2 linked regions of the Notamacropus eugenii genome follow. The protein of the gene in region 1 purifies or fractionates together with the protein of each later gene. This does not show direct contact. Links are inferred from orthologs where the notes say so. Each region holds a gene or a part of one and is shown in the gene's direction. Other genes may lie near its edges.

What was found.
Region 2: the proteins of VASP (region 1) and PFN1 purify together in Homo sapiens (affinity purification with western blotting; 3 studies listed by BioGRID and IntAct, with this or other methods). This does not show direct contact. The link is inferred for Notamacropus eugenii from reciprocal best matches to the Homo sapiens genes VASP and PFN1.

Annotation. Positions count from the first base shown.
Region 1 is NW_027325105.1:114,773-130,042, forward strand, and holds the start of VASP (vasodilator-stimulated phosphoprotein), read left to right. Parts: upstream 1-7,782; 5' UTR 7,783-7,918; coding exon 7,919-7,923; intron 7,924-15,192; coding exon 15,193-15,270. Other genes in the region: RTN2 (reticulon-2), read right to left, coding at 641-910, 1,149-1,586, 2,028-2,072, 3,066-3,099. UniProt on the Homo sapiens protein: Ena/VASP proteins are actin-associated proteins involved in a range of processes dependent on cytoskeleton remodeling and cell polarity such as axon guidance, lamellipodial and filopodial dynamics, platelet activation and cell migration.
Region 2 is NC_092873.1:79,361,951-79,377,791, reverse strand, and holds PFN1 (profilin-1), read left to right. Parts: upstream 1-9,544; 5' UTR 9,545-10,356; coding exon 10,357-10,488; intron 10,489-12,217; coding exon 12,218-12,410; intron 12,411-12,660; coding exon 12,661-12,758; 3' UTR 12,759-13,026; downstream 13,027-15,841. Other genes in the region: ENO3 (beta-enolase), read right to left, coding at 1,318-1,387, 1,499-1,557, 1,721-1,829, 2,363-2,564, 3,084-3,281, 3,378-3,600, 4,957-5,090, 5,219-5,288 and 3 more; E3 ubiquitin-protein ligase RNF167, read right to left, coding at 13,461-13,717, 13,801-13,881, 14,638-14,731, 14,917-15,022, 15,476-15,566, 15,667-15,754, 15,836-15,841. UniProt on the Homo sapiens protein: Binds to actin and affects the structure of the cytoskeleton. At high concentrations, profilin prevents the polymerization of actin, whereas it enhances it at low concentrations. By binding to PIP2, it inhibits the formation of IP3 and DG.

The DNA of each region.
Region 1 (15,270 bases):
GACTATAGATGGTTATAAAATGTTTTCTCCCTCAGCAGGGAGGACCCTCGAGTTAACTTTTTTTTTTTCTCTTTTGCCTTCTGCTGTATCCCAGCTCTTAGCCTAGTACCTGGGACATAGTAAAGGCTGAATTAATGCTGTTGACTGACTGGCTAAATGAGAAGTGGGGGAAAGGGAGGAGAGGGGCACAAGGAAAGGAGAGGGAGAGGACTAGGAAAGATAGATGATAGGAGGAATGGAAAAGGGGAAAAGAGAAGGGAAATGGAGTAGAAGTTGGGGCACACGGGTACAAGATGGAGAGGGTTGATGATCTACAAATAGGCCAATGGAATCACATCCCTAGTATTTTTCCCACCCTTCTACCCTTAACCAAGACTGGATTTCCCCTCCCATACGCTGCCTCTTCAGCCTCCCGGTCGTCTTCCTGAGTCGTTCCCTGAGTGATGCCACGCTACCATGTCCACACTATTCCCTGCCTCCCTAAATAAATACTGACTTTAAAGCACCATCTAGCCTGGTCCAGGAGAAGCCAGGGTACTAGTATGCCCTATCTCTCTTCGCCCATTGTTTCTTCCAGGAAGACGAGGTCTCTAAATCCCGCCTCCCCAGGACCAACCAGATGTTAAAGGCAAATACTTACCTAGGACCTGAATTTCTAGAGTGATCCCTGATTGGTCCGAGCTGTCCAAGCGCTGCCCGGTGATTGGCTCCCGCTGAACTGCTCCCCACACCTCCCCCTCCTCTTCCGGATCTTCCTCCTCTCGCCAAGAGTTAGAGTCCCGAGACCCCAGTGAAAGAGGCGGGGAAGGGGTGTGGGTATGGAGGGCTGAAATTCCTGGACGTGGGCTGAGATGTGACCAACCGACCTCAGGCAGCGAGGGGTCAGCTGGGAGGCATGGCACTTCCGAGTCTTCGAGGCAAAAAAGGAGAGAAAGGAAGCTATGAGCTTCCCCTTAGGGTGCACCTCCCGCCCCCACCAAGATTGCCCTGTGTTCGGGACCCCTCCCTTCCTAGATTCAGTCACGCTCTTCTCCAAGAATCTAATAATTCCTAAGAATCCATGCTTCTGCCCCCTCTCCCCTATCTTACCCCGAACCACCTTCAGCTAAACCTTAAACGTCCTCCTCAATTGTGCCCTTCCGGCATACCTTCCCCATCCAGTCTGGGCTCTGGTCCGCCCTCCTCCTCGCCCTCTTCCTCCTCTTCTGAAGGGCTGCTGGCCGAGTCCTCCGAAGCCGCCAGCCCCGACTCCCAGGCCAGCTGGTCCAGGCGGAGCTGCAGTTCGGCCTGAGGAGGGCCTTCCTGGGCAGCCCGTCGTCCAGGCTCCGGAGACTGGCTCAGGCTGGGGATGCTCTCCAAGCTGTCTCCCAGACCCGATGGACCGGGTTCACGGGGTTCAGAGCGGCCAGAAGGGCGAGGCCGGCGATGGACGGAGTCGCGACGGTTGCCCCCAGCTTCGAAGGCGATGTAGGAGAAGGTCAGCTCTCGGGGGGTCCCCCAGTCCTGCGACGTCGTCTCCTCCTCTTCCTCCTCAGAGAACTCACGAGCAGTGTGTAGCTCCCGGAAATCCGAATCGTCATTGCCACCTGGAAGGACGCTGTTCCCTTAGCGCCAGTCACCCACCATCTCTAAACTCCAGATTCCTCTCAGAAGATCCCCCCATGCTCACAGGATTTTAGATAAGGAATGGAATTTACAAATCACCTAATCCCACTTCTTCATTTTTACAGGTGAGGCAACTGAGACTCTGTTTCCTTCCCCAAGTTCAAAACAGGTTACTACCAGAGTTGGGATTTCTTCTTAGTAGCTCCTGCTTTGTCTTCTCCGCACTGTTACTAAATGGCTGACTTTATTTTCCCCACACACCCCAGCAGTACCTTCTCAGCGGTTCCTTCTCATTTCTCCTTAGAAAGTATGAGCTTACCATGAGTCACCGACTTTTCCTCGCAGCTTTTTGCACTCCCCACTTCATTTAGCACCCCAGAAATGCCCTTGCCATAAAGGAAATGAAGGTCGACTCTACTTACCATCTGTGGAGTCAGGAGTGGAGGAGGCAGTGGATGGTGCTTCTTCTAAGAAAGAAATAGAGTCTTAGACACAGCCTGGAAATCTTAAACACTTAGAATCACAAAATTCAGTCCTGGACGATTGGAATTTTGGAATTTTAGAGTCTTAGAATTGTAAAGTTGTAGAAATTTAGACTTCGGGAATTTTAAACTTTGAGAACCTTAGAATCACAGCATCTTAGCCTTTAAGAATCCTTGTGCAGAAGTGAGACTAGAAAGCAGAATGTCAGAATAGTTAAGGACTTTAGATACCGTCTGATCCTCTCCAATTTTATAGACGGGAGACGGAATCCTACATAGGAAGGTTTGCCCAAGGTTGCACTCTTAAGGAAAGACTGATCCCGGACCAGAATCCAGTTCGTTGGATGTCTCTGTACTGGCAAAGGGGATAGAGGTGGGAAGCATCTGACACTTCCTTCTCTATACTAGAAAAATTAATTCCAAATCTATCAGGAAAGACGAGGGGAGGCGGTGTTGATGTGTGTGTGTGTGTGTGTGTGTGTGTGTGTGTGTGTGTGTGTGTGTGTATGTGTGTGTATGCTTGCACTTGTCTAAAGCTGGAAAGGTGTGGGCGGAGGAGACTGCCCCTTAGAGACGGTGGCCCGGGATTAGTCCCAGGGAGTCCTGGGAAAGGGAGAAGGGGGAGGGATGGGGCGGGGAATGGCAGTCTTCCCCTCCCCCATTTATCCTAGGCCTTTCCCTAGGATCAGCACCACGGCTCGGGGACAGCTCCGGGTCTCGCCAGGTCTCCCTCGGTCCCTTTCCGTTCTACTGGCTGGGCCTGGCTCTCAATAGCCCGTTCTGTTTAAAAATGGAAGGCGCTTAGAGATCATCGAGTCTAATCCTTTCATTTGACAAAGGGGGGAAACTGAGGCCCATGGAGAGCTACATTAGTTGGCTGTGGGATGGGGATTCTTTCTTTGTCCTTACCCCATCAACCCCGGGAATCCCCTCCCTTCTAGAATTGGCACCCCTACCCCAGGGACTGGGGGGACTCACTGCAGTGGGCGAAGACTGGCAGCACCTGGCCCATGGCCCCGCCCGGGCCCGCTCCGGCCGCGCCGCCCAGGGCCCGGGGCCCCTCGTGCTCATCGCCCCGGCACCGCCCCAGCCGCCGCCATCCGCAGACCGTCGCCGCCTCCCTCCCTCCCTCTCCTCGGGGTCTGGGCGGGCGGGGCCCCGAGCTGGGACCGAGGGGAGCGAAGAGAAGGGGGTGGGGGGACTGCAGCACGAGCCCCGGGCCGGAGGCGGGGCTTGGGCTGGGGGGCGTGAGCAAGCGCGCCTGCGCGAGTTTACAGACGGGCGAGGGGACTGGGGAAAATAAGGAGCCTGCGCGAGTCTGGAAGGGGTGGGGGAAGGGGCGGGCCCTGAGGGGGTGGAGCATAAGCCGGGGAGGGAGGGGGGGCCTGCCTAGGGGCGTGCACTGGAGGAGCCTGAAGCCAAACTAGGGAGAAAATGGGAAAAAAATACTAGGAAACCGTGCTAGGGCTGGACTAGGTGGGAGGAGGAGAGGCTCAGGGAGGGGAGGGGATCCTGACAGAAGGGCGGAGGACACAACTGGAGAGAAGTTTTGCCAGCTCCTAAGCCTTCTGAAACTCACCATTCTGGGTGTGGGAGGGGCTCGGGGATCTCGAGAGGCGTGGCATCGAGCACCAGCTTGGGAAGCCTGGGAAGACTGAATGTGGTGTGAACCAGAGTGAGCCGCCAGGGGGAGCTTACACACTTTCATTCATTGGTTAAACTTTTATTCGGGGCCTAATAGGATGCCCAGGGAATTGCACTAGGCGCTAGGGAAAATATCACGTTCAAATAAGATCCAGGTCCCTGCCTTAACGGAGCTTACTGTTTACTAGGGAGATAACTTTAATCTTCAACACCGCCTGATAAACGCAGGAGAAAAGGACAAAGTTCTAGGTGAGGTCCAGCGGGAGGTCTCTGATCATGTTGTGAGGGAGTCAATATGCTAAAAAGCCCTGAATTGGGAGTCACATGACCCACCTTCAAATCCTGCCCCTGTACATCTTATACAAATCATTTCACCTCCTTAAGTCTCAGTTCCTCCATTTGTAAAATGAGAGAGTGAGCTAAATGGCTTCTGAGGTCCCTTCTGCCTCTAGATCTTTGACTCCAGGAGAAAGGTTGATTCTGAGTCAGAATCTTATTCAGCTAGAATAATAGACTCTTTAAGTCAGAGACTCTTAGAACTGTACTTTCTTAAGTCAAAATAGAATTTTAAGCCTTTATGTTTACCTGAGACTTACCATGACTCCCCTCAGATAATACTTCCTCTAAAAGGCTTCCATGATCTCAGTTCTCCCCAGCTGAAAGTATTCCGATTCCTTGTATCATCTTCCTATTTTGTCGTTTTCTTTCCATTGATCTCACAACACGCCCTACCTTCTGATTCTTACTTCTATCACATATTAGAATGTAAGTAAACTCTTTGAGGGTAGGAAGTGAATCATTTCATTTTTTTTTAAATCATAGTATCATAGATTTAGAGCTGGAAGGAACTTTAGAAGTCACCCAGTCTAACCCATCATCCAAATGAAACCAAGACAAAGAGAGATCAAGTAGTTGCCCCAAGATCACAAGGCTAGTAGGGTTTGGAGGTGAGATTTACACTCCAGTCTGCCTCTGATGGCCCATCATGGCATGTAGGTTCCTCTGGGTTTTTGAAGGCACTTGGTCTCTAGAATTCTCTACCAAGCTGGAAAGGTTGAATAGTGTTGTGTGTAGATCATAGATTGAAGTTCTGTTGTCCGAGTCAATTAATGTAGCCCCTATTTCCTGCCTTTGTCAAGCCTAGCTCAATTTAGAGAGGTTCATTAGCAGCTTGACCACAAAGTGATGAGGATGACTCTACTGAAGTTATATAGAGGGGTTTATGAGCTGTGTGCCTAGAGCTAGGACTCACAGTGCTAAAATTACCTCCCTTGAAATGTTTGAATCCATGAAGTTGTAATTCCCTCAGAGCCCCTTGGTCTGGAACATAGTGGGCACTTAGTGTTTGTTTAATTGAACAGAATCTTAGACTTTAGGACCTTAGATTGATAGATTCATAAGATCTCAGAGGCATAGAATTTTAGGACAGTAGAAAGTTGGCCAAGAAATTTTTATTGACCACTTCCTATGTGCAAAGCCTAAATGAGGAAGTGTTCACATTTGGACACTTCAGAGGTTCCTTCTACCTCCAGTCTTCCCTTTCCCACCCTCCCCCAGAGCCCCTTGGCCTGGAACAACGTGATCCTGGAAGGGAAGAGAAAGCCCTAAGTTTCTTCATAACCAAGGTCAGCAGCCCTGAAGCAGAATCTTGCTGTTAACCACCTTAGACTGTGAACTCCTTGAGAAAAGTCTCTTTTCCCTTTCTGTCTTCCCAGCACTTAGGTACTTAATAAATGTTTATAAGGGAGTGACTCTTCCCTAGGCTCCCTGACTGCTGAGGACTGGAGCAGAGGAAAACTTACTTAGCTACCCACCTCCCCCCACCATGAGACTGACCAGTCTTGTGGAAATAAATATGATTAAGGATAAGGAGGGGACTTCCCCTTTTTCAAGTTCCCCTGAAGTTAGAACATTTGAAAGGAGGAGAAATGTGAACCCTTTAAAAAGGTACAGGGGAGGGAATCCTAGGACTCAGAATCAGGTGAAGAATTTTGGTTTTCTTAGAGTCCAGAGAGGGGAAAAGATTTACTAAAGGTCATGCAGCAAGTTAGGGTCATAGCTAGGATTAGAATCTTGACTTCTCTATCTTAGAGAGGCAGCTAGATATTAGAGTAGATAGATCACTGGATCTGAAGTCAGAAAGATGAGATCAAATCTATCTAACTAGCTACATGACTCTGGGCCAGCCACTTAATCCTTAACTTCAGTTTGCCTCAGTTTCCTCAACTGTAAAATGAAGATAATAACAGCCTCCACCTCACAGGGTTCTTGTGAGGATCAAATGAGACATCTGCAAAGCACTTAGTACAGTGCTAGGCATGATAAATGTTTAAATCCCTGCCTACCCACCCCCCTTCCCCTTAGAGAGAAGACAGCATTCAATATTCCCCAAATGCCCACTCAGCACTCTACAGAATGATCAGCTAGCAGAAACTTGTGGACCAAAGGAAACAGATCTCTGGCATGAAGAGGTATTCAGTAAATGTCTCCTAAAGTCCAGGGACTGTGCTAAGTTCTGGGGTCATCATAAGGAAACTGCATTCTGGTCAGAGAGTTTCCTACCCGGTAAAAAGTGGAAAAGGGAATGAAGAGGCCTGCTGCCTGAGGACCAGAGTAGGTCAGTTTGGAGAGATTCATGACCACCTCAGCCACAAGGTCAGGAAAACAGTCCTCACTATGGAGAGGATTGTGAGCTGTGTACCTGGAGCAAGGACTTGCAGGGGTGAAACCATATCCCTTGAGGTATTGAAGCACAGGAGATGTATATATCCTTAGGGTCCAATATAGGATCTTGAACATAGTGGGCACTCTAAGTTCCTGGGAAAAGGGGGAGCTGGAAGAGGTTCTATGGAAGAAGGGTTTGGGGAGGTCAGTAGCTTCATCCCTGAGGTCATTCATTACTTTGGGAAAGTTTTCCTTTCTTGAGCTTTGAGGGTGTCCACTGCTCACTCTCATGATCTCCTGGCTAAGAACTCGGGACAGACCTGGAAGGGCTCTTAAAATATGGACTATGGAATGATGGGGGAGGTCACCAGCTTAAAGCACTGACTCAGTGCCTGGCACACAGTAGGTGCTGAATAAATGCTCGTGACCTGACTGATTTTGCTCACGAAGAGATGATCCTGAGGTCCAGAGAGGGGCAGGGAACTGCTTGAAGTCATCTAGTGCATCGGCGATAGAACCCAAACCTTCCGCCTGACAATTCGAGACTTTTCTCCCAGAGTCCTCTGCACTCAGTCTTTATAAAGATGGGGAACTCCGAACCCCCAGGGAACTCCCAGCAGGCCAGAGCAGGAGGGAATGAACGCAAACTCACTACTTCTTTTTCGTCTTCTAACTGGCAGTTTGTGTATTTAACAAGGGTAGAGGGGGAAACCGAGGCACACTGGATGGGGGGAAGGGCTGAAGATGGAACCCCGGCGTCCCGCCCTTCTTCGCCCTCGCTTGTCTCTCAGTCTGTCTCTTAGTCATCCCGGTCCACACCTACTTCCTCCTCCTCACCTTCCCCAGAGGAGTGGGGGCGGGGCTGGCTCAGGTCAGGTGAAGGGAAGGGAGGGAGGGGGATGGGGGAGTGGATCTATCTACAGTTGATTGATCTCTGGACCCCCCCGGGCACCCATACCCAAAAAAAGTGTGGGGAAGGGAGATTGACCGGTGTGGATGGGGAGCCACCAAGGAGAAGTGCAAGGGGCAGCGGGCCGGGCTACCGGACGGCCGGAACCTTTAAGGCGCGAGGCATTGTGGGCGCCCCGACTGTGCGGAGCGGAATGGGCTGGGGGGGGAAAAAGGGGGGTAGTTGAGGAAGCAGGTTGGAATCTTGGAATGAAATGTAACCACAGGAGAAAAAGCGTAACGTTCTAGCAGCGGGCAGCTGCAGCAGCGGCTGCGTTGGCCAGGCGGGCGCATCTGACCGGGAGGGGCAGCACAAGGCAGGGGGCGGGGGCAGGGGGAGGGCCCGAGCACCCCCAACTAAGAAGGGGGCGGGACCCAGACCGAGTCCCCGCCCCCCCATTGCCCCCTCCCCCTCCCCCTCGAGGAGGAAGCTACAGCCCTCCACGGGGCGGGTCCGGCCCCAGATCTGACCAGAGCTCCGGGCCCCCCTGCCCTGCCCCTTCCCCGGAGCCTCCGGGTGTACCCCGGAGCCCGGGAGCCCAGTGCGGCCCAGACCGCCCCTCGAGAGCCCCGCCATGAGGTGAGAGATACTAGGGCGGGGTCTGGAAGCCGGGAGACTTTGGTGGGGAGGGTGCTTTGGGCCTGGGGACGCTGCCGGGATCCAGGGAGGCCGCCTCCTCAGCGTAACCCTGTGGCTGGTTACAGGGAGGGAGAGAGAAGGTTGGGGGAACCCAGGGCTCTGGGAAAGGAAGGGAAGGGGAGGCGAGGGGCGGACCTCTTTTCCCCTTCGCTACAAGAAGTATTTTTGGGGATCCCCCTTAACCAGCCCTCCACAACTTTTGAAAGGACTCCCCCTGAACCCTACCGTTCTGGAGACTAGGCGGGGGAGGGGAGAGGGGTGTGGTGTCCAGGGACTCCTTGGGAAAAGGAAGGATGATGACCAGACCGTTGCCCCTTCCCGTGCCAGGCTTTCTTCTGTGAGGTTCCGATTGTTTCTTCCACTGTCCTGTTTCCAGGAGTTCCGAGATCCGTTAACCACACAGTGGTTTTTGCTTTGGTCTGGTTTGGCTTTTTGAGAGGCAGCAAGTTTTGTCTTGGGCCCCTTCAAAACGAAGCTGACACCTTATACACCCCCCCCCCCAAACCTGGGCGGTGAATGATGCTCTCTTGCCTCCCCTCCGATTCTAGAGTCGACCCGGGTCAGTCTCTAACTATACTCCCCCCACCCCAAATGTGGGGTTTCCAAAACCTCGCCCCGCCTGTAAGCCTGTGAAGAGAATGAGATGCACTGGGGGAAAGGAAGGATGAGAGGTCCAACCACCCCTTTGACCTTTGGAAACCAAACCCCTTCACGCTCTATAGTCCTCAGTTTGCCGACGAGTCCTTATTTATGTACTGGAAAGTCTCTCTGCCCTGCCTCCAGGGACGCTGAGCCCTAACTTTTCTGGGGTTTGATCCTTGAGTCCTCACATCAGGGCTGTTGAAGCTCTTAATTCTTAGCCGTCCCTCCTGCTTAGAGAAGGCTTAGATAGACCCTTAGAGCTGGGGTGAAGCATTACCTGTCTCCACCCCCGACTCTCCCCACACACACAACTGAGTTTCCCGGAGGGAAGAGGTCTCTTGTTTACATTCCCCTTCCGCTATATCTTGAGGGGAGGGGGTGTTAGGGAAGTTATCCAGAGGGGTAATCAGCCTTTCCCCAGAGTCTCCACCCCTGACCCCTCCCCCAGATTCCCCTGGGAAGGAAACCAACTGCTGGAGAGATGGAGGAGGGGCAGAGGCGGCTTTTGTCTCCTGGGACTCACCTGTCCAAGAGGGAGGGATTCTTAACCCATGTTCCTTGTTGGGGGGGTGGGGTGAACGGGGAAGGGAGAGGGCACCTGGTTGGGGGGAGGGGAGAGCTGCACACCCACAGGGGATCTAGATGCTAGGGGTTTTCATAGATGTGTTATGTATGAGAGGGAAAATAAAGTGACAGGCCCCTCGCAAAAGAAACCTCTCGACTTATAACTTGCTTATGAGAGGACCACCCTCCTGGAGTACCGAGAAGACAGATACCTGAGCTAGGGAGAGAGATGTTGAGGAACGAGTCCTTTTCCAATCCCCTGGGAGCCGCTGCTACAATGCTATCGCTTTTCCAGCCCTGGGATTTCCGGACAGCCCCCACCCTACCCCCTTCTGCCGAAACTGGGGTTCAAACCCCAGAATTTAGCTCCAAGTGACTTTAACTCCTGCCAGGCCACAGTCCCACCACACCAGCTCTGCTGCAATTTAATTCATTAACCTCCTATTAATTTCCTGAGGCTGTAGGGTTAATCTGGAGACAGGGAAGGGATGGAAAGGGAATTTCCTCCCTCCCATTCCCCCCACTCCCCAGCGGTGGCCGGAAGTCTGTGGGGTAGTGGGACAGTTTGACTATGATACCAATTTCCTTCGGTTTCACCACTTTTCCGGGCTAAGGGGGTTGAAAGGGGGGGTCAGCTGAGGCGTGGGGATATGGGGGGAATCGGCGGCAGGAAAGACTTCGTGGAATGTTCTAAGCGTTCTAGCTGTCACGTTCTATCAACCTGATCTCCCGTTTGTTCTAAAGTCTTATATTCTATGGTTCAGAGGCTCAAATGCGAAACATTTTAAAGGTCCGATCACCTCTCCATCCCTAGCCCCAACTTCTAGATCCCAGGGAGAAGAGGAAGAGATACCCAGGGAAAGTTGGGGGTTAAGACCCTGGGGCAACAGTATGTAAGGGGATTCCGAATGACCCCCCTCCCCGGGAGCCTATGGGTGAGATTAGTGTTTCTAACTGGCCAGCTCCCCCTCTCAGCACCAATAAGACAGAAACATTTCCCCTTCCCCCCTCCGCCTTTTAGAGTTCGGTCCTGGCTCCTTATAAGTCTCCATTCAGCCTTCCTTCCTTCATGGGAGTCAGGGGAGGAGCACGGGACCCCTCCCCTTTCCATTCTCCGCCCTACCTCCTGCCCCAGGTCCCTCCTCCTCCCCCCTTTTCCGGTCCCTGGTACAAGAGGTGGAGAGGATTGAGGAGAAGGCGGACGTCCGAGTCCCCGCCTCCCCGCAGCCCCCCCCACCCCCCACCCCCGCCAACCCTAGCTCCCAGAGACCGTAAAAGGCCAGGGCTAAAGCTGCTCTCCCCCTTTCACCCTGCTTCTCTAGCTTGACTTCTCCCTCCCCTCAATCCAAGGCCTGAAAATTGAAGGTATAGCTCAGGAGCCTTAGAGAGTAACAGCACGCAGACCTATTCCCAACACCACTTTGCAGACGTACAAACTGAGGCCCAGGGACTTGCCCCAAGCTACACAGGAAGCCACAAGCAGAGATAAAGCTTGAAACCAAGCTAATAAAGATTAGAGAGAGGCCACTTGGTGTCAAGGAGTCCAGGACACAGAGAGTCTGTGACATCTGCCACCTCAGAGAGTCGCTGTTTCTTGCTTCCTCACATCTGTAAAGAGGGGAATTGGCCCAAATGACCTCTAAAGTTCCTTACTGCTTTGAAGCCTGTGATGCTGTGATGCACAGAGACCTGTCTTATCCATATTCTCCCTTCCTCCCTACCTAGGGTCTTCCCTAGATTTCCAGGATCCTTTTCACCTCAGTGGGAGAGCCAAGTGGAAAGAACACTTTAGAACTTGGTTTTGATAGGCCTGGGTTGAAATCCCAGCCACAATAGCCCTGTGACCTTGGGCAAGTGGCTTAACCTCTGTGGGTCTCACTTTCCTCATCTGTAAAACAAGGGTAATTAATCCACTAGATTCACTGGGGTCCTGGTGAGGAAAGCACCCAGTAAAACAGGGCCCTGGGGAAATTGTAGCTGCTGTTACCTCAAGAAACTGGGCGTGGCTAAGGGCCTCCAACTTCCTGGGGGTTATTTGAGGGGGCGGGTAACAGGATGGAAAGTCACAGGGTTTGTTTCTCAGTCCAGCTTGAGTGCCTACTGGCTGGCTTCCTCCAGGTCACAGACACTGGAGCCTACAGGGTAGTTACCAGGGAGTGGGGCATTCAGGCATTGGGGAATTTCCTCCTCTTTGATTTTCTATGTCTATGAGCCCCCCAGTCATACTGAATGTTGGATTCTAATTCTTCACCTCTCAGGATGTGGGGCTCATCTAGTTCAAACTTGGTCCTCATATAGGAATCTCCTCTCCAGCGTGATCTGTCCAGGTGATCAGCTACCTTCTCCTTGGACACTTCTACCTCCAAATGGGAAGGACTTCTGTATAATAAGACAAAGTACTAGGAGAGGGATTACAGACCCAGAGCTGGGAGGAATCTCCAAGACCAGCCAATCTAACCCCTTGGTTTTTACTGAGGCACAGAGGGGTTAAATGACCTTACCCTAGGGTCACACTGTAGTCATCAGAACCTAGCCAGGTCTTCTGACTCCAAAGCCAGCAATTGGGCTACTGGGAGGGGTGGGGAAGGGAGGAGAGGGAGAGAGAGAGAGACAGAGAGAGAAAAGGAGGGGAGAGAGATGCAGGGAGGAAAAGAAAGAGGGAGAGAAAGAATAAAGGGAGACAGAGAGGAGAAGAAAGAGGGGGAAGAGAAAGGGAAGAAGGAAGGAGAACAAAGAGCAGGAAAGGGAGAAAGAGAGGGAGGGAGGGAGGAAAATAAAAGGACAGAGGAAGGGATGGAGAGAGAAGGAGAGGGGGAGAAGATCTAGACTTGAGAGCTAGGACCTTTGAGTTCATTTGGTACAACTCTGTCATTTTACAAGTGAAAAATTGGTGGCTGAAGTTGTCTAGTTATCCTCAAATCCTAGGCTCTTTAAAGACCAGCAAGTCTCAGAGAGGTAGTGTTGGACAAAAAGAGTCAAAGGACCTGGGTGCAAATCTGCCACTTATTGCCTGCATGACCCTGGAGAAGTCATCTCATCTCTTTGGGTCAAATGAAGAAGATGGAGTCTTCTAAATTGGATTCTAAACCTACTCCCCTTGTACGAATGGAGAACCTGAGGTCCAGAGAGACAGTGAGTCCTAGAAATCTAGGGTTAGAACCCAAGTCTCTTAACACCTAGCTCTTTTATTCCACAAACATTTATTAAATGTTCTGCATGTATAACACTCCTGTGCCTCGCTGTAGAAGACACACAAAGTTTAGATAATCCCTGCCACTTCCTGCCCTGGTGGAGCTTATAGTCTATTGGGGTAATAGATAACTATACCATACAACATTACATGGTAAACATATTGGAAAAGAAGGGGGGGAGGGAGGGAGGGAGAGAGGAGAGAGAAAGAGAGGAGAGGAGAGGAAAGAGAGGAGGGCTAGGTGAGGCCTGAGGGGGAAGGTCATTACCAACCAGGGGGATGAGGAAAACTGGAGGAAATGCCATCGGATTTGGGACTGAAAGGTTGAGGGAAGGCATTCCTAGCCTGGAGAACAGCCTGCACTGGCAGTTCTAGGAGAGCATAGGGTGTGTTCCTGAGACAGGGTGGATCAATATGGCATTCTATGGAGTGCATAGAGGGAAGTAATCTGAGATGGAACTGGGAGCACAGGGGAGTGCCAGAGGGTGGAGAGCTTCCAATGCCAGTCACTGGAGACTGGACTTGATTCTGCAGACCAAAGATTTTAAGGCACAAGAATGACAGGACCTGATCAATGCTTGAAAAAAGACTAGATGTGCATTCTGAGGGAGGTTCAAGGGGAGGGAGGGGAAGCAAAGAGACCTACCAGGACCCTCTTGCATTAGTTTGGGGGGTTAAGGGGACTAGCCGCAGGAAGAAAGGGAGGGATGAATCAGAAGGATTGCTTGATGTATTGGAGCCAATGGAAAGAGAATGATCCTAGAGTGGGTTCAAGTATCCAATTTCTGCCCCTGACTTTATAGTATGACTTTGGCCTTTTTCTCTGGGCCTCAGTGCCGCATCCTGAAGCAAGGGGGTGAACTGGATCCTTGAGGTACCATCCAGCTCTAAAGATCTGATCTACCATCATACGTACTTTGAGAGGTGCTACAGCTCTAGGGATCTGTTTCCTTCCCTGTAAAATGGGGCTAATGAGATAGATGCTACATGCTTCACCTGGGATGTTGTGAAGCAAGTGCTTTGTAAACCCTAAAATGCTCAAGAGATATACGCTGTCATTATTATTGAACTACAGAATGTCAGAGCTGGGAGAGCCCTTAGCATGGGCTAGGATTAGGAGGGACCTTAGAATATGGAATGTCAGAGGTGAGACTTTAGAACACATGTCAGGTTTGAAAGGGAGCTTAGAACATAATGTCAGAGATGGGAGAGAACTCAGAACATAGAGTGTCAGGGTTGAGAGGAACTTTAGAACACATGTCAGGATTGAAAGGGAACTTGGAACACAGTGTCAGAGATGGGAGAGATCTTAGAATAGGGAATGGGAGGGAGCTCAGAACTGAGCATGTCAGCTGGGAAGGAACTTAAAAACAGCAGGAGTCCTGAGGCTGAAGCTGGAACAGGGTGGGGCTTCCAATGTGTGTACCCCTCCTTGAGGAAAAAGGGGCGAAGGGCAGAGAGCAGGGTGGTGCCTGTGTTGTGCTACGACCTGCCTTTACCCCAGCAGGCAGTGGGCGTGGGCTCCAGGTGTGGGCAGCCTGCCAGGCCCTACCCTCCAATCAGCCCTCTCTGTGCTGGCACTAGCTGACAGTGGGGGTGAGGGCCAACCCCTCAGGCCACACAAAGGCTCCTGACTGGAAGCAGCTGGGCTTTCTGGTGGGGGTGGCTCTTCTTCCCTGGGGCTTCACCTGTCTAAGGAGCACCTGGCATTCAAGTACAGATCTGGGGCCCTGGGGCCGGCTCCTTCTGACATCTGTTTGCAGCCTCTGGGCACCCCACTCTGACTCAGGGACTGGTGGTGGGATCAACTCCTTTTGGAGATGTCCCGTCTCTCCTCTTTTCAGCTTGTAGAGCTGAAGAGGGGACTAAGGCAGCTTCCTGTGAGCACAGAGAGGGTACAAATAGTGGAAAAAGTGGACTTCTCATGGGGGGAGGCTGGTATTTCACCGAATGGCTATTTCATCTTCCTGGGGCTTCCTTTCCCTCTGAGAAGTTCCTTATGACTCTGAATATTATTCCGGCTTATGCCACCTTTCTGTACCACACAGAAAGGTGAGCCTCAGAGTTCTCCCTCACCCCCCACCCCAGATCGTTATCACTCTCCCTCCGGAACTCCTCTTGCCTCCCTACTTCCCCATGTCATGGGGGATAGGGCAGATGAGGGAGTACACTTAGAGACATCAATCCCTTTAAGGCAAAAGAAGATATCTTCCATGATGCTCTGGAATTCTGGGAGTTGTAGTTTCTTTTTGTGACATGCAAACTGAAGGGAGGGTCTTTTGCCAGGATGACTTTGGGGCTGGGAACAAAATCCTCCCCCTAAGTCATCCGGATGCCTGAGTGTCCTCCATTGGGGTCTCTTTGGAGCATGGGGTAGAGGATGTCTTACCAATCAGAACATCCAGACTAGAAGGGATCCCATGTTGTATAATGTGGAGAAAGTGAGCTCTACTCCAGCATCTTTGCCAAGAGAACCCCAAAGGGGGTCAGGGAGAGCCAGACATGATTCAATGACACAGAACAAGGCCCTAAGAAATGAAGTGAGAGCCATGGAGCTCTCTGTTCATCCACTCTCTGGACTCACCTCCTGTGATGGAGGGATTTCAGGAATGCTTAGAGATCTCTAAACCAATGCCTTCATTTTCTGGATATGGAGTCAGATTCAGGAGGGTTCGGCCTCCCTGGCTCTCTTCTCCCAGGTCTGGTTCCCAGCTCAGGGATCCTGTGTGGGCTTCTGTTTGGAGAGAGGACTGGGATTGCTGTACAGTGATTCACCCCTTGCAGGCCACTGAGTCTCTTCTTCTTCCCCTCAGTGAGAACCTGCTCTGCTCCAGCTGGGCCACGGTGATGGTTTATGATGATGTCAACAAAAAGTGGTTACCGGCTGGAAC
Region 2 (15,841 bases), on another chromosome or scaffold:
CAACCCCGCTGTGGCTTTGAAAAGGGGGAATGGGGCCATGGATGAAATTTCAGGCTACAGTGCCACCTTGTCTTGACTTCTGATGACCATGCCAGGGGTTGACCTCTGACCTCCCAATGGAGCCATTAGGATGGAGAGATGGGTATGGAGACTATCCTAAGGTGATCTGGTCTGTGTGGCTTTAGAGTTTTTGAATGTTGGTTATATGGGATAGTTGAGTGAATCTCCTTCCAATTTCCCCCAAAAGATGTGTGACAGAATGTAAGAGTGAATATTTAATCTATATTATACTTCCTTTTCCTGGGGGTGTTTCTCTTCCCTCAAGGCTAAGGTAACTTTATGCTCAATAAACACTGTTTGACCCCATGTGCTGGTTTGTGCATGGGGCAAACCAGATACCTGAATCCTTCCTGGGAATGACTTGGGTGTGAAGAAAGGCATGGACCCTGGTACAAGGATATTTGCTTTTGGGTGAGGATCAGAAGCTGGAATTAGAATTTTTAGAGCCAAAAAAAACCCCTTGCATTCCCTTATTTAACAGATGAGAAAAGTGAGTCCCAGAGAGTGTAAAGTTGACTTGCCCATGGTTACATGGGGAGTTAGTGGCAAGAGCTGGGCCTAGAACCTTCAGGCCTCTTGCTGCTGTATCCTATGGACCTCTCAAAGTCTGTTTTGTTTTGTTCAGATCTGATCCAAATTTTCTTCCCCTCACAGCTATATAAAATACAGCTGCCACTGTTTCCACTCCACCCCTACTGGGACATTTCACTTCTTTGACTTTTTCCAACAACTCTGCTCTCAGGATCTTGTCTCTCTCCTCCCATCCCACCCCCATGATGTTTTTATATTGTGTCTCCTTCCTACAACCCAGTCCAAACAACTTTCCTTTTCTCCTGCTTTCCTCAATGGTCATTTACTACTAGTAGTAGCTGACTTTTATGCAGGGCTTTGATTTAACAAAATGATTTCACATCTGTCATGTAATTTGATTTTCAACCTCCCCAGGAGGTGGATGGTACAGATACTATTACCTCCATTTTATAAATGAGGAAACAGGCTGAGAAAGGTCATATAGACCTCCCCCCCTCAAGGCTGCTGCCTACAAATCTAGTCTTTTTATTCCACGGTGCTGTTGCTCCCTTTTCAACATGGATGCCACCTTCTCCTGTCCCCTCCCTGAGATGAGGATGTACTTTTCTGATCCCAAACCATGACACCCTAGTCATTCTTGCTGTCCAAAGTGCTTTATTGAGAGAAGTGGTAGAGATGGTGATGGACTCAGATGTCTCTGTTGATCTAACACTTGGCTCCTTCAATTTACTTGGCCTTGGGGTTACGGAACTTCCGCCCAGCAAAGACAGCCTTGTCTCCAAGAGCCTCCTCAATTCTAGGCAGGGAAAGAAACAGCAGTGAAAATGGCCACTTCCTGTTCTACCTCTACCTCACTTTTCCCTTGGACACCTCCAACCTCCCCTCACCCCCTGCAGCATTGAAGTACCTCATGAGCTGGTTGTATTTAGCCAGACGCTCAGAACGGCAGGGGGCGCCAGTCTTGATCTAATATAATGAGAGACAGGAGGAAAGTTACAGAGTCAAAAGAAGAAGTGTCACAATCCAGTGACTGGGGTCAGATTGAGAAAGAGGAAATTCAGGGATGGGTGAGAACCTCCAGAAGACTTGGCTCTGATGGCCACAGATGAGGAGATATCCTGTTCCCTACCTGGCCAGTGCAAAGTCCTACTACCAGATCAGCTATGAAGGTGTCTTCTGTTTCTCCAGATCGGTGGCTGACCATCACTCCCCAGCCATTAGTCTGTGCCAGTTTGCAACTACAGAGAGAAGGGTCTAGGCTCATTACAGTGGAAAGAGGTCAGAGGACTTGGGTTCTAACACCTCCTATCCAGAAGACCCTGGGCAAGTCTCAACCTCCTTACAGATGAATTTTCTCATCTCTATAAAGGGGGAACTGGACTAGATAGCTTGAGATCTCTTCCAGCTCTTAGGTCTGTGATCGCATGATCCCTTTGGTTTGAACCCAATTCATTCATCCATGCATGCTACAACCATTTTTAAAGTACTTACAATGTGTTCAAAAAACTTGGTTGGGGGAAAGGATCATGTGTACATAAAACATGTATCTGAATTCTTGATAGGGGTGAAAGAGTAATGGTGAATGATTGCTGACCTTTTGGGGAAGAGGAGGAAGTGAAAATTTTTTTACCTTGAATTTTCTTGGTGAGGCTTCTGGATAGAGGAAGATTAGACCAGGGATATGTATGTAGGAGAATAACTAATTCATGGGTGAATTTCTAGAGCATGGAGTGATTCCCACCTCCCTCCATCTCACCCACTGGGGACTCACGCCTGGATGGATTCAGTGACAGAACCAATCTGGTTGACTTTTAGCAAGAGGCAGTTACAGGCTCGCTTTTCTACAGCCTGGGCAATACGCTTGGGGTTAGTGACAGTGAGGTCATCACCCACAATTTGGATGTCAACTCCAGAAAGAAATTTAGTCCAGGTGGCCCAGTCATCTTGGTCAAAGGGGTCCTCAATGGAAACCACTGTGTGAGGAATGAAGGAGATCATCGGGAGTGGGTTAGAATGAGAATAGAGAGAGGTGCTATGATGGAGTGGGAAAAACAGTGGACCTGCTGTCAGGGACCCTTAATTTCAGTCACAGCTCTAACCCTGTGTATGTTCAAACAAGGGGCAGGACCTACGCTGGGAACACTAGCTCTGCTTCTCAATATGGGAGTAACCCTGGGCAAATCATTTGACCTTTCTAAGCTTGTTTCCTTTTCGGTAAAAAAGAGATGTTAAACTAACTAGATGTTAAACTCTGCCCACCCTCCCACGTCTCCCCTTTAACTCTCAATTTAATAATTTCTGACAGTGTTTCCTCATTTGAAAATGAGTGTTGGAAAAAAAGCTCTTTGTAAGCCTTATTTCACTAAACATATAGGAGCTATTATTATTAAGTGTAGCAGGAAGAGAGATCACTAAGATCAAAGAAAATACAGTAGAATAAATTAGGGAGTTCTATAAGGGGGAAGGGAGGATGGGGTCCTTGCATCTCTCACCAGGGTAATTCTTGATGAAGCTCTTATATAGCTCCCCTAGTTTCTCCCCAGAGATGTGCCGGGCAGGATCATCAGGGGATTTGAAGTCAAGATCATATTTCCCATTTTTGTAGAACTCAGAGGCAGCAACGTCCATGCCAATCACCACCTTGTCTGGGTAACCAGCTGCCTGGATGGCTGTTTTCAGCAACTCCAAGGCTGGGGGTAAAGGAGAAATTAAAGGAGTAATACCCCATTTTCCCCTCTAGCCCTTATTCCCTTTATGGACCCCTCCTTTTCATCCCACTGACTGACCTTCATTGTTCTCCAAGATGTTGGGGGCAAACCCACCCTCATCGCCTACATTTGTGGCATCCTTTCCATACTTAGACTTGATGACACCCTTTAGATGGTGGTAGACTTCAGCCCCTATACGCATTGCCTCTCTGAACGATGCAGCCCCCACGGGCAGGATCATGAATTCCTGCATGGCCAACTTGTTTCCAGCATGGGATCCCCCATTGATTACATTGAAGGCCTGGGTGAAATTAAGTGGAGGGAGATTCAGATTTTGACCACAGAGAAGGAGTGAGATAAGACTAGGACTGTAGCATGAGGATAGACTTGAGCTATAGAGGGAAGGCTGGACATTAGATTCAAAAGACTTCCAAGGGAGGAATTGAGTTCAGTGATTCAGGAGAAAACTCTTTAAGATATTACCTCTACTCTTAAAATGGCAGACAGTCCCTTTGCACAAATGGGGAAAAATAAGACTGATTCTAGTTGATTCTACTTCTACCACAGCTCCTAAGTCCATCCCTCTCATGCCACTCCCCTTTGTTTATTCCCTTTTTCTCAGACTTTCACTCGCCTCTCAGCCCCGTCTCTCCTCTCCCTTCATCCACCCCACCATTCCTTTTTCAACTCCAAATTCAATAATCTGCAGTTTTCTTGGTGCTTCCTTCACACAACTTCTAAAATCGTGAGGCAAAAGTCTCCTCAGAAGTCTTCAGTGGCCCACTATCCTATTTTATAGAGTATAAACTCTGTACGTTTCATTTAAGGCTGTTTACCATCCAGCTTCAACATATTTCTAGTCTTATCTTACATTAGTACTACAAAATGTGATGACCAAACAGTCTGTGAAATAACATTTCTCATAGTTTTGGGCACATGATATTTCACTCCAACTGCTTTGTTCAGTCTGTATTGCAGTCCAATATCTTGGTCACCTGTTTTCTCCCTACCCCCACTTTTTCATACATTCTTTCCACATTTTTACCTGTTGAAATAAAGATTATAAATTTAGAGCTGGAAGGAAATTCTCTTCCTTGGAAGGAAATACCTTTACTAAGCTCAGGTACTACTTCCTCCAAGAATGGATATATACCTGATAACACAGCTACTACTCTTTGCTGGAAGGAACAATTTTCCTGCCTGACATTCTACCTTATATTATTCCTATTTGTAGTTTACATGGCTTCCTCCCTATTATCCTGTAAAATCATTGATGACAGGATTGTGCCCTATTTCATTTTTGTATCTTCAGTGCTTGGTACAGTGCCTTGTACATGATAGGAATTTAATAAATGCTTGTTGATTTGAAGTTAGACTGCTATTGAGATGTAAGTGGTCCAGACTACATAAAGCATTGTAGAGAGTAGGATGAGAGTTAAGGAAAGACATTTTCAGGCACTTATCTTAGAAAAGAGAGGATAGGATTCTGAGCTACAAACACACAAGGAGGCTATACTTTAGGAAGTGATCTCTCTGGGCAGTGAATTAGCATCTAGACTTCCTAAAGAGTTTTTATTCTTGAAAAAGGGGGGCATCCTCTGTCTTAAGGCCAAGTTCAAAGGAATGTGATCGAGTCCCAGGGTTAAGAAAAGCTAACCGGTACTGGCAGCACAAGGTCTGGATTCCCAGCGAGGTCCGCAATGTGTCTGTAGAGGGGGACCCCCTTCTCTGCTGCTCCTGCCTTACACACAGCCAGAGACACACCCAGGATGGCATTGGCCCCAAACTTGGCTGTAGAGAAACCAATGATATGAGAGACTTCTTCACATAGAGTGAGAAACTTCTCCCTTCCAGCCCCCTCTCCCATTGGGAATGGGGTTATTCTCTGGTCCTCTCTCCCTTGAAATCCCCTCACTCACATTTATTCTCTGTCCCATCAAGTTCAATCATGAATTTATCGACTTTTTCTTGATCCACAACACTCAATTTCTAGATGAGTGAAGACAAAAAAAAAAAAGACATACAAGAGACTGACTGTGGTAGGATCATCTTACAGAGACTTAGGCAAGGACCTAAGAGGCTCAGGTCATAAAATTAATGGCTATGGGGAGAAGAGGGGGGGAAAGGGGAAAAGTACCAGGAGTAGAGGGGACAGATTTGAGGAATTTCTGGCCATTCCCTTGACTATTACCTTTTCCAGTAAAGCAGGAGCCAAAGTCTTATTGATGTGTTCCACAGCCTTCAGCACCCCTAGGGAAGAGAGCAGAGGTTAGGGATCAATAAGTTCTGACTTCCTATACTAAAGAGATCCCAGGTTCACCAACACTCTCCATCTATGCGATCCAATACTCTGCCCACCCTCCCACTTCTCCCCAAACAAATACATTCTCTTTAAAGTGATATCTCACCTTTCCCCAGGTATCTGCTTTTGTCTCCATCTCTCAGCTCCAGAGCTTCATAAATCCCAGTGGAGGCTCCACTGGGTACAGCAGCTCTGAATCGGCCTGAAGAGTAAGGGGTAGAAATGAATTGAGACTACTCCCCTCTCACAGCCCAAGTGGGAGAAACCCCAGGTTCCTAGGGTCCCAAAACAGAAACCAAGGGATAAAGAGACTTTGTTTTTGAGTCCTGGGGCCTGGAGAAGTGGTTAGCTGAGAAGTAGTCTGGGAGGAACCAGGGTTTGGATGATTAGGGGACTCAAATTAGTTCGGCCTGGAATATATGAGGAAGGGGTAACATGGATGTATGGATTATGGAATCCAAGAAGAGCTGTAGAGGAGGGGAGAAGTGAGGAAGAGGTGTGTTTGGAGATACATCTGAAGACATGCAGGCTCCCTCCTCACCTTTGGCTGTGTGGAGATCCACCTCCACTGTGGGGTTCCCCCTAGAATCTAGGATTTCTCTTGCAAAAATCTTCTGCATTGCCATGGCTGCGGACTTTGTCAGTGGGGAAGCTTTTAAAGAACCGAAAAAGACACCCCCAAAACCTCCCATGCCCTTTAAAGTCTTTCCTCAAGCCAGGAAGGCAGGTGCTGGTACTAAAAATAGCCCAGAGAAAGGTCAGACCAGAGAGGCCCAACTCCCTTTCCCTACTCAGAACTCCTCCCATCCCCCCATCTTATGCTAGAAAATCTTTTTTTTTCCCTTTTAATGCCCCCAATTGCTTTTATTTCCCCCCAACCTTCTCAGACTCTCCTCTTTCCCTTCATTTCACTCTGATTACCTTGCCACCCTACAGCATTCCTACCTCCAGTCCCCCAGTACCATCCCTGTTTTAATCTGTTCCCTATACCACATCTCCATATTCTTCCTCTCCCCCAGTCTTGTTTTGCCCCTCTCCATCCTATTGCTCCCTTACCCCACCACTTACCCTACTCCCCACATTCCTCCCCATCATTCGCAAATCCTGGCTGTGCCTCTACCTTACCGTACCATCTCCCTTTCCTCTTTGTCCCTTTCTCCCCAAATCCTTGTGTCTTCCTTTAGGCTCTACCCCATCCTCTCCCCCATTCAGCTACCTCTCCATCCCCTCCAACCTTCTCATTCTCCAGTCTCTCCCCAACCTGTGGCTGAGAATTACAACTTAGTGTAGCGGGTGGAGGAAAGAATCATCCGTGCCCCTGCCCTACCCCTCTAGAATCAGGCCTGAGAGGTCTCACCACAGCTGGAGTTCCTTGGACAAGGTCTGGGGGTATGGACTGCTGCTGGGATAGTGTCGGGCTATCACTCCTAAGCCTGGCATTTATTACTGACCCCGCCCCTCTGCCCAGCCCCTCCCCTGCCTACCCCTCCCCAGCTCACTGACTATCAACAGTTGCCCACCAAAGGCAAATTCATGGTCCCTAAGACACTCCTCCCCCCTCCTAAGGCTGTGCCCTCCCCAAAAAAGTCATACACCCCCCCTTAATTTCACCACCCACAAAGGGGGCTCAGCTGGGGAGGGGGGGGGCGCAGCTATTAAGTCTTTCCCTTACCCATTGCCTGGATTCAATTTCCAGCAGCAAAGGTTAAAGAGGGACCTTTAGGAAAGGGCGGACGGGTAACCTGAGCCTCTGCCCCTTCATGCATAGACTGCAAGAGGGTCTTGGGGGAGGGGAGACTACACCCATCCTCATACCTCCTGGTAAGGAGGCACTGTCAGCAGTGAGGCTTTGGGTCTTAAGGAGAAATTGGGAGGGATCAGGGTTTGGCTCAAAGTTTCTACCACCACTCTCAGGTTTCTTAAAGCTGCTGCTCCCTCCTCCCTCCAAGGAGAGGAGCCCTGTACCTCCTACACAGTGTGCAAACTTAAACACAGACCTTTGTGGGCCTCAGTCTTCCTGTCTCTTTCTCTGTGTCTATTCTGTCTCCTTGTATCTCCGTTGGAATCTTGTCTCTGGGTTTATCTGTGTCCCTCTAAGATTAGTCTCTTTTTGCTCTACTTTTTTCCTTTTCTCTTTTTTTTTGTAGTTGAGCCTGTTTCTGAACGTCTTTCTCTGCCTGAATCTGACCCTCTGTCTCCTCATCTCTCTGTCCCTTAGTATCTGTGTCCATCTGAAGTTCCCCCAATGTCTTTTTCTTTCACTCAATGTTTAGTTCAAATACAGTCTTACTGAACACCTGTCAGTGATGCCCCTAGATTCCTACATTGGGAAGTCGGGCTTACATGACCTTTTAAGTTTTTTCCAAAATCAAGACTGCATAATTTGAAATCTGCTTGTTTTGTTGCGGTTCACTGAATCTGTCTCGAGTTTCTTTCTATCCTGGTACATTCAGTAGTTCTGAATTTGTGTCCAAGGACCCGATTGAGTCCTCATTCTGCCATTTTGTGTGTGTGTGACCCTGGGCAAGTCTGGTAGACCTCAGTTTCTAATTCCCGTCTGCCTCTAAAGTTATGGTCATACACACATCTATTCTTGTCAGTTTATTTTTGGGTATCTGAGTATTTTTATGTCTAAGTATCTTATCCGCTCCCCTTTGCCCATTTCCAAGGCTGTTTGTATTCTTGAGTCGTCTCCCCATGTTTGTTTCCCAATCTGTTCGTTTCTGCCTCCCTACGTCAGTCTGTCCTGATGCCTGCTTCTGCACGAAACTTTGTAACTGTCTCGTGGTCTCCGAGTTAGTTTCTGCCTCTCCTCCCTTCGCTGGGCGTTTGCTTCTACGTGCATCGTTTGTATCCTCCCGTCTCCCAAGTCCTGCCTGCCGTGCCCGAGTCCCTCATTCTACCTTCGCACCTCTGGGAGTGTTTCTGTGTATTTCTCAGGCCTTAAATCTTGAGGCTCAGCCTCCTCTGGTTTCTCTTAACGAGACTTTGCCCCTGGGTTTTCCTCCGTGCTCCCTCCCTGTCTCCGGAGGAGCGAAGTGCGTTTGCAGAAAAGCAAACGTTCCCGGCTGGGAGTCCTAGTGTCTAATCCCAGACGAGAGCTCCTTCTCCCCAGGCGCCTGGGAGCCTCACTCCGTGACTCACCACCCTCCCAGCCCGGGCGTGCGCCTCCAATCAGTCTGTCTGACTCACTCAGGTCTCGGGATTCTCTGCCCACAGTCCCATGGCCATCTATGCCCAAAGCAGACCTCACTTTATCTCATCCGTGCCCCTCCCTCCCCCACGCTTATCTTCCAGAATCAGGGGCTGCCCCGCCCTTCGGGGAGTGCGGACCGGGGTGGGGGGCAGAGGTCAGGCCATCCGTGGAGACGACGGCCTGCCACGAGCCCTAGAATCCGGCACCGCCCTGGGCAGGAGTCCGGGCGGCGTCGGACACGGGCACGGACACCTGGGTCCCACCGGACTGCAGAGACCCGGTGGGATTCTGGAAATTCAGTGGGAGCAAGCCGACCGGAAGCGGCCAAGCCCCTAGCTGGGGCGGGGGAATATGGGGAAGGGGGGGCTCGCTCCGTCAGCCCCAGCAATCCGGATCGCCTGGGCCCCGCCCTGCCCCGCCTCGTGCCCAGCGCGCCCGGAAGCTGGCAAACCGCTTCGTGTCCCGGCAAAAAGTTTGGAGAGAAAAAAAAGCTTCCCCGGTCCTCGCTCCTCCAGCGTGCTCTAGCCTCTCGTCCCGTCCCCCATCTTCCCCCACGCCCTCGCGGCTCGTCCCTCCCCGCCTGGGGCTTCCTCCGGTCTCGGCCGGCCCGCTCAGCCTCCAAGCCGGCGGCAGGGGAAGGGAAGGGGAGCTCTGGGTGGGGCTCTCGTCCCGCCGAAAGCGGAGGGATATAGAGACGGGAGAGCGGGTGCAGCCTGCTCGCGGTGGGGAAGTGCACATGTTCCCAAAGGGGCAGTGGAGGAGCCTAGTAAGCCTTCCTCTCCCTCCACTTTCCCTCCGCCTTGAGAGAAAATAAAAGACTGCACTGGCGGGAGAAGGGAGCGGGGAACCCGGGACGAGACACGTTTCCTTCCCTCCCCGGTTAAAAAAAAAAACCCGAGCCTGCGTAAGCCCGCGCAGGCGCAGCGGCGACCCCCAATTTCCACTTCCACGAGCCCCACCCCTTTACTGCCCGCTGGGGAGGAGACTTTTGCTTCCATCCCTGCCCGCCTCGCCCAGCCCTCCCTAAGTTCCGGCTCTTCCCGGGCCTTCGAGCGCATGCGATGGGGGCTGGGGCAGAAAAAGTGTTAAAAATTTAACCCGGTTCGTGCCAGGCCTTCCCTCGATTTGCATCATTTGGGGCTTGCCTAGTCCCCGTTTTCACCGTCCTCGTCCCCTACCGGAGTTTGATTTGTCCCCTAAAATGCCACTAACCGCCTAACCCTAACCCGACGCCCGCTCCCGCCCAGAGGCCCTTTCATTGCACTCAGCAAATTTGGCTACTGAGAAGGGGGGAAGGAGGGGGGGAATTTTAAAAATTGTTATTTGCGAAGTTTTTGCTCGCGAGGGGGAGGGGGAAGAAGAGGCGGCCCCGCCTCCACTGTCGTTTGCAAAAAAAAAAAAAAAGGAGGGGGGAGGGGGGAGGAGGAGCAGCGGGACGAGCAGGAAGCAGAGCTAAAGGCAGCAGAGAGAACGGAGCTGCGAGTCTGGACGGCAGCGCGTGTTCCGAGCTCTCCGCCACCCCCTGCCCGCAGTAGCAGCAGAGCCAGACCGCCAGCGCTATGGCCGGTTGGAACGCCTACATCGACAACCTCATGGCGGACGGGACCTGTCAGGACGCGGCCATAGTCGGCTATAAGGACTCGCCCTCGGTCTGGGCCGCCGTCCCCGGGAAAACCTTCGCCAATATCACGGTATACGGAAAGGGAGCGAGCTGGGGCCTGGAGGCTGTTGGGGGGGAAAACGTTCGTTTCGTGGTGCATTTGGAGGTTCGGCCGGGTTTTTTGTTTGTTTTTTGTGTTTTTAATTTCAGGGCTGGTGGGGGGATGGGGCAGCTGAGGGTGAGGAGCGGAACAGCCGGACCGATGGGGGGCCGGAGGGTCGGTTTGGCCGAGAAATGTCGGCCAGGCTGGGCGCTGAGAGGGTGTGAGTGAATCTGGGTAGTTGTGGGGACGCCTGGGTGCCGCGCGGGAGACGCTGGCGCTGGGCTAACGGGACGAGGGGCAGAGAAGTGGTTTCCCATCTTCCCTCTTCTCCAAGGCCTGGCTTTCACCCATCACCACATTTTCCTTTGACTTTCTGCGCCGAGGCCTTTACATGGATTCTCAGGTTGCATTGCAAGCCCGCCCTCCCCCCTTGACCGTTTTTTCCCCAAATTCCTGGGACTCCCGCTCCATGGTCGTTCCAGCACCACCACGGTTCTGAGGGAGGGCGTTACATCCGGGGCACAGGGCGGGGAGGGGCGCCAGCCGCCCGGTTCATCGGACACTTCCGCCTCCCTCAGGGCGGGGCGGGGTGGATGGGAGATTTCCCCCTTAACCTTTTTTTAAGGGGATGGCGGGGCGCCCCTCCACTTCCGGTTGCATGCTTACGTGCCCCCACTCGTTCCACCATTGTTCGCCCCCCGGGGGGGAGGAAGAGAAGGAAGCCCGGGCTCCTGGAGCTTCTTGGTGCCTCAGGGCTGCTCCCGGCCCGGCCCTCTTCTCCCAGGGCATGGCCACTCCCAGCACCACCTTACCAGCTTCCCCTCGGCCCCCATAGTTCCCCATGGCCCTGCTCCTTTGGGGTCCGTGGGTAAATTTCCGTGAAGGAATTCATCTCCACTTCCCCCGTTCGGTTTTAACGTCTGGAGTGGGGTTGGACAAGGAAGTTTTGGGGAAGTTTGGCTGGAGGTGGGGGGATGGAATAGGGAGTCATAAAGGTCAGAGGGCTCTCTCCCCAGTTTAGTTTGCCCGGAAGTGGGGAGGGGGAGCGGAAGTTTGAAGTGGGGATTTCCGGGAGCTCAGTGGCCGGATGTGGGGTTGGTGGGGTGTGGGGGATGTATAGGGGAGAGAGGGTGCTTGAAGTTCTTTTTGATGTGAGAGGTCTACCACCTCCATGGGATTGGCACCACCACTACCAAAAAAAAGTTTTCTGATTGCAGTAGAGTTGCGGGATTCGTTGGGCTCCCACCCTAGTTGTCATCTGGGCCCCAAACCACCAACTAATGTTCTCAGACCCAGGAATCCAGGGCCCCCACTCTGAGCTTGGCTGAGTCTTTGCCCAAATAAGGGCATAGCAGCTTTGTTCCATCCCCGGCCCCTCCTCCTCTGCTTCTGCTTTCCTGAGGGGAAAAAGCCATGTGCTTTGATATACCCTCATCTTTCACTGACTCTTGGCTCTCCTGCTTTTCGTCTGAACAATTTTATAGTGAATTTTGAGCTGACTCTCCTAATCTTTTAACTCTTTGGGGGAGAATGGTGAAGAGGGGTCATTGAAATAAGTTCTTAAGAAATAATACGTTTAAAATCCGTTTAAATTCAGACCCAAACTTACTTGAAAGAATTACCCACACAAATGGGCAGGGGGAGGAATGGGAGAAAGCCACAGTTCTTAGGTTTTTAACTTCACTTCCATACGTGCCTTCCTTCTTCCATGCTATAGCCAGCTGAAGTAGCTGTATTGGTTGGCAAAGACCGTTCAACTTTCTTCGTAAATGGGCTGACACTTGGGGGCCAGAAATGTTCGGTGATCAGGGATTCGCTGCTAATAGATGGAGAGTACACCATGGACCTTCGTACAAAGAGCACTGGGGGTGCTCCCACCTTCAACCTCACTGTTACCATGACTGCCAAGAGTAAGTTGTGACTCCTTTAGTCCTTAATCTTGAAGGCAAAATGTTTAATGCAGGTGGTGTGTTTAAAGTATATTGTTAGATAAATACTGACTGAGATTTCTTTTTCTGATGAGAGTATTTCACTTCCTTAGCTTTTTCATCTCCTATTTTCCCACCTAGCATAGTGTGAGATGTTACAAGGGACATTGCTTGGGAATACTTGGTTCCAGGTGGTGGGAGTACTCAAATCTTCCTTTTCTTCTGTTCTTAGCGCTAGTCCTGCTGATGGGGAAGGAAGGTATCCACGGGGGAATGATCAACAAGAAGTGTTATGAAATGGCTTCTCACCTTCGACGCTCTCAATACTGACCCTCCTTGCCCCCCCCCTTCTTCCCCAGGCTTCTGCACCATTTCCCTCACCATTGTTTTTTTGGGCCATTCCCCCCACCCACTTGTTGCTGCCAAAACTACACCTGGGGGGGTCCAGGTTGGATGGACAGGTGCCCCCCCCTTTCCTTTTGAACCTCCTTCCTGTGTGTAGTTGGGAAGACTTTTTTTTTTTTTTTTGAAAAAAATTTTGTTGGTTTTTTTTCTGGAAACTTATATTGGAATATGAATAAAAGATTCTACTAATAAAGATGTGTGTGATGAGGACTGGGATCTGCCAAGACAGGGAGAATTCCAAGAGCTGGCACTGCCATTTGTAGGCTCCAGGGAAAAACAAAACTGTTCAGGAATGTGCCTCTGCAGTCCTGGGAGGTTCCAAGTCTTAGCTGTTTGAAAACTTCTCCAAAGGGTTGGGTGCCTCTTCCCCCTTGTAGAAGACTGGAGCCTCCTAGTGATCAATAGCCATGGAAGGCTACTTGTCATTTCTGCCTGCCTGCCATTCTCCCCTCCACTCAAGAAAAACAACTAGACGAGATTTTTGTGGGGGAAGGGGTCCCAAGAAAGACCCCACCCCTGGTCCAGAAACAAAGCAATTTTATTAACCCAATAGTGAAAATCTTCAGATGTAGAAGGGGAAGGACCTGGCCCTAGCCCAGGAAATCCTCAGGAAGGTGTGAATTCAGGTCAGACTAGGAGAGCCGAGGAGGATGGGGAGGCAGAAGGTTCTTCAGGAAGGGTAGGAGAGAGGGCACCAAAGGAGGGTGGGAGGGTGGTAGAGGGGCCTAGGAGGGGGGTCCGCTCAGAGACTGGGTTCCCACTGTCCCCATCTTCCTCTGCTTCCTGCTCTTCTTCCCCAGGTTCTTGGTGAACTGGCTGCTTGCATATTGGGCAAGTCTTCCGGGTTTGGGTGAGCCAGGGGTCCACACAGTGGCTATGATAGGCTAGGAAAAGACCAAGACAGAAATGGGTCATATAAGAAGGGGAAATAGGGGAATGGCACCCTTGGGAGCAGAGGATTCCTCACCATGAGCACAGGGTAGTATCCTCAGCTTGTCCCCATCCTCATATTCTTCCAGGCAGATGGCACAGACATCGTATTCATCACCTAGTTAGAAGAATGAGATGAAGGCCCCTACTCAGCCTATCACAAACCTGATTCTAGTTTAAGGGTTATTAAGCTCTTTTGTGTTATGAGTCTCCTTCCATTCTTAGAATGTTTTGTGCGTTTGCATAAAAGTACATATGAAACCAATTGTGTTGAAAAAGTTATCAAAATATCCTTTAAAACGCCAGGTTAAGGATCTCTGTTTTAAGTGTTTTCTGTAACTAAATCCAGCTATACAAATTCAAGAGTAAAAAGTCCCTGCAATGTGTTGCTTAATTCAACTTAATCCAACTCAATCTACCTGGTCTCTCTACCTTCCAATCCTAATCACTTTTTTAAAAAACAAATATGGAAACTAGAGGCCAGGAAAGAGAAAAAGATTTGTCCAAAGTCAATGGTACAACCCAATGCAGAAAACAAACGAATATGATAGGAGAGCAAGAAGTGATGGGAACGAAGGGATCAAGCCTGCAAGGGGTAGAGGTGAGGGGAAGTGGTTTGGAGGAGGGAAGATGAGCAGAAATGGGGAAGGAAGGGCCAGGCCTCAGCTCTAGCCTTATATGGACACTAGGCCTGAGGATTTGCGTTTTTCTTGCTTTTTCCCCTTCTCTCTTTCACCCTTACTCTGATCTATGGAGCCTTTCTTGCCTTTCATCTCTTATTTCCTGACACTGAGACCCAGAACTTGATAGTGTTTGGACCTGCCCACCCCTGCCTCCTGCCTGTATGGAAGGTCATCCCGGAACCCTGCCTCACCCTTCTGATAGTTATGGGTGGGAATCTGTTTCAGCTGCTCTTTGCTCAGTCGGTTCCTTTGGAGCCGCTTCCGGTGCTGTATGCATCGAACTACCTGGCGGGGGAGAGGAGAGACGCTACCTGGCAGAACAAAGGAGAGGAACCCAACCTGGGAACATTAAAAAAGCTGGACCAGTTCGATCCAGTCTTCCTCTCCCCTCATGGAGTTGGTGTGATTTCCCAAACTATGCCTCTTTCCCAAACCCCTGGAAAAACAGACCTTGCCCAAAGTTAACTCACCAGCACAGCCCCCATGGCCAGAACCAGCAGGCCCACAACCCCAGTGAAGGGAATGAGGTAATAGCCTAGAGGGAAGGTGTTGTCTGGGACCAGCAAGACTCGGGCCCTAGGAAGGGACAAAGGGAGGGAGGGGTCAGAGAGCCCAGCAATAAGGGGCATTCAAGGACTGGAGGCATGGGAAAAGGAAGGGAAATAAAAACTCAAGCACAAAAGCTCATATTTCTCTAACACTTTATGGTTTACAAAACTTCCTCACAACAAACCCGTGGCATAGGCAATACAAGTTGCCTACTTCTATTTTACAAATGAGGAAACAGGCTCAGACAGACATGCTACAGCCATAGAGCTTAAGCAAACTCATGAGTCCTGTGCCCTTCCTAGCAAAGTTTTGTGACTCACATGGTATGCCAGACTGAGATAAAAGAATAATTATGGGGGGGGGGGAAGGAGAGACACAAGGTGGAGAGGAAAATAGTGAATGAAAAGATCGGGTGGGAAAAGGAGATTAGGAACACACCAGATATGAATCAGGATTGAGGACAGGGAAGACAAATCATACCCCTTGTCGTAGACATAGAGGGAGCGCAGGTACTCTGAGCTTGTCTCTCCCACAAACACTGATGGGATCCAGATCTGCTGCTGAATTTCCTCTGCAGGAATGGGACTGTCATACCAGGGACTCAGGCATCCCCACCTCCTCTCACCTCCCCCCACCCCAAGGACTTGGGTGCTCAGGTACCCAACTCTTACCACTATTCCACACCATGTTCAAAAGTTCATTGGAATTCACATTGTAGACTATAGCTGCTCTGTACCCAGCCTTTTGGGCATTTAGAACCTGAGAGGATGAAGGGGAGTCACGGTAACAACCACCCAATCACTCTAAATTCCTTCCACAATCCCCATTCCCATTCCCCACCTTGAG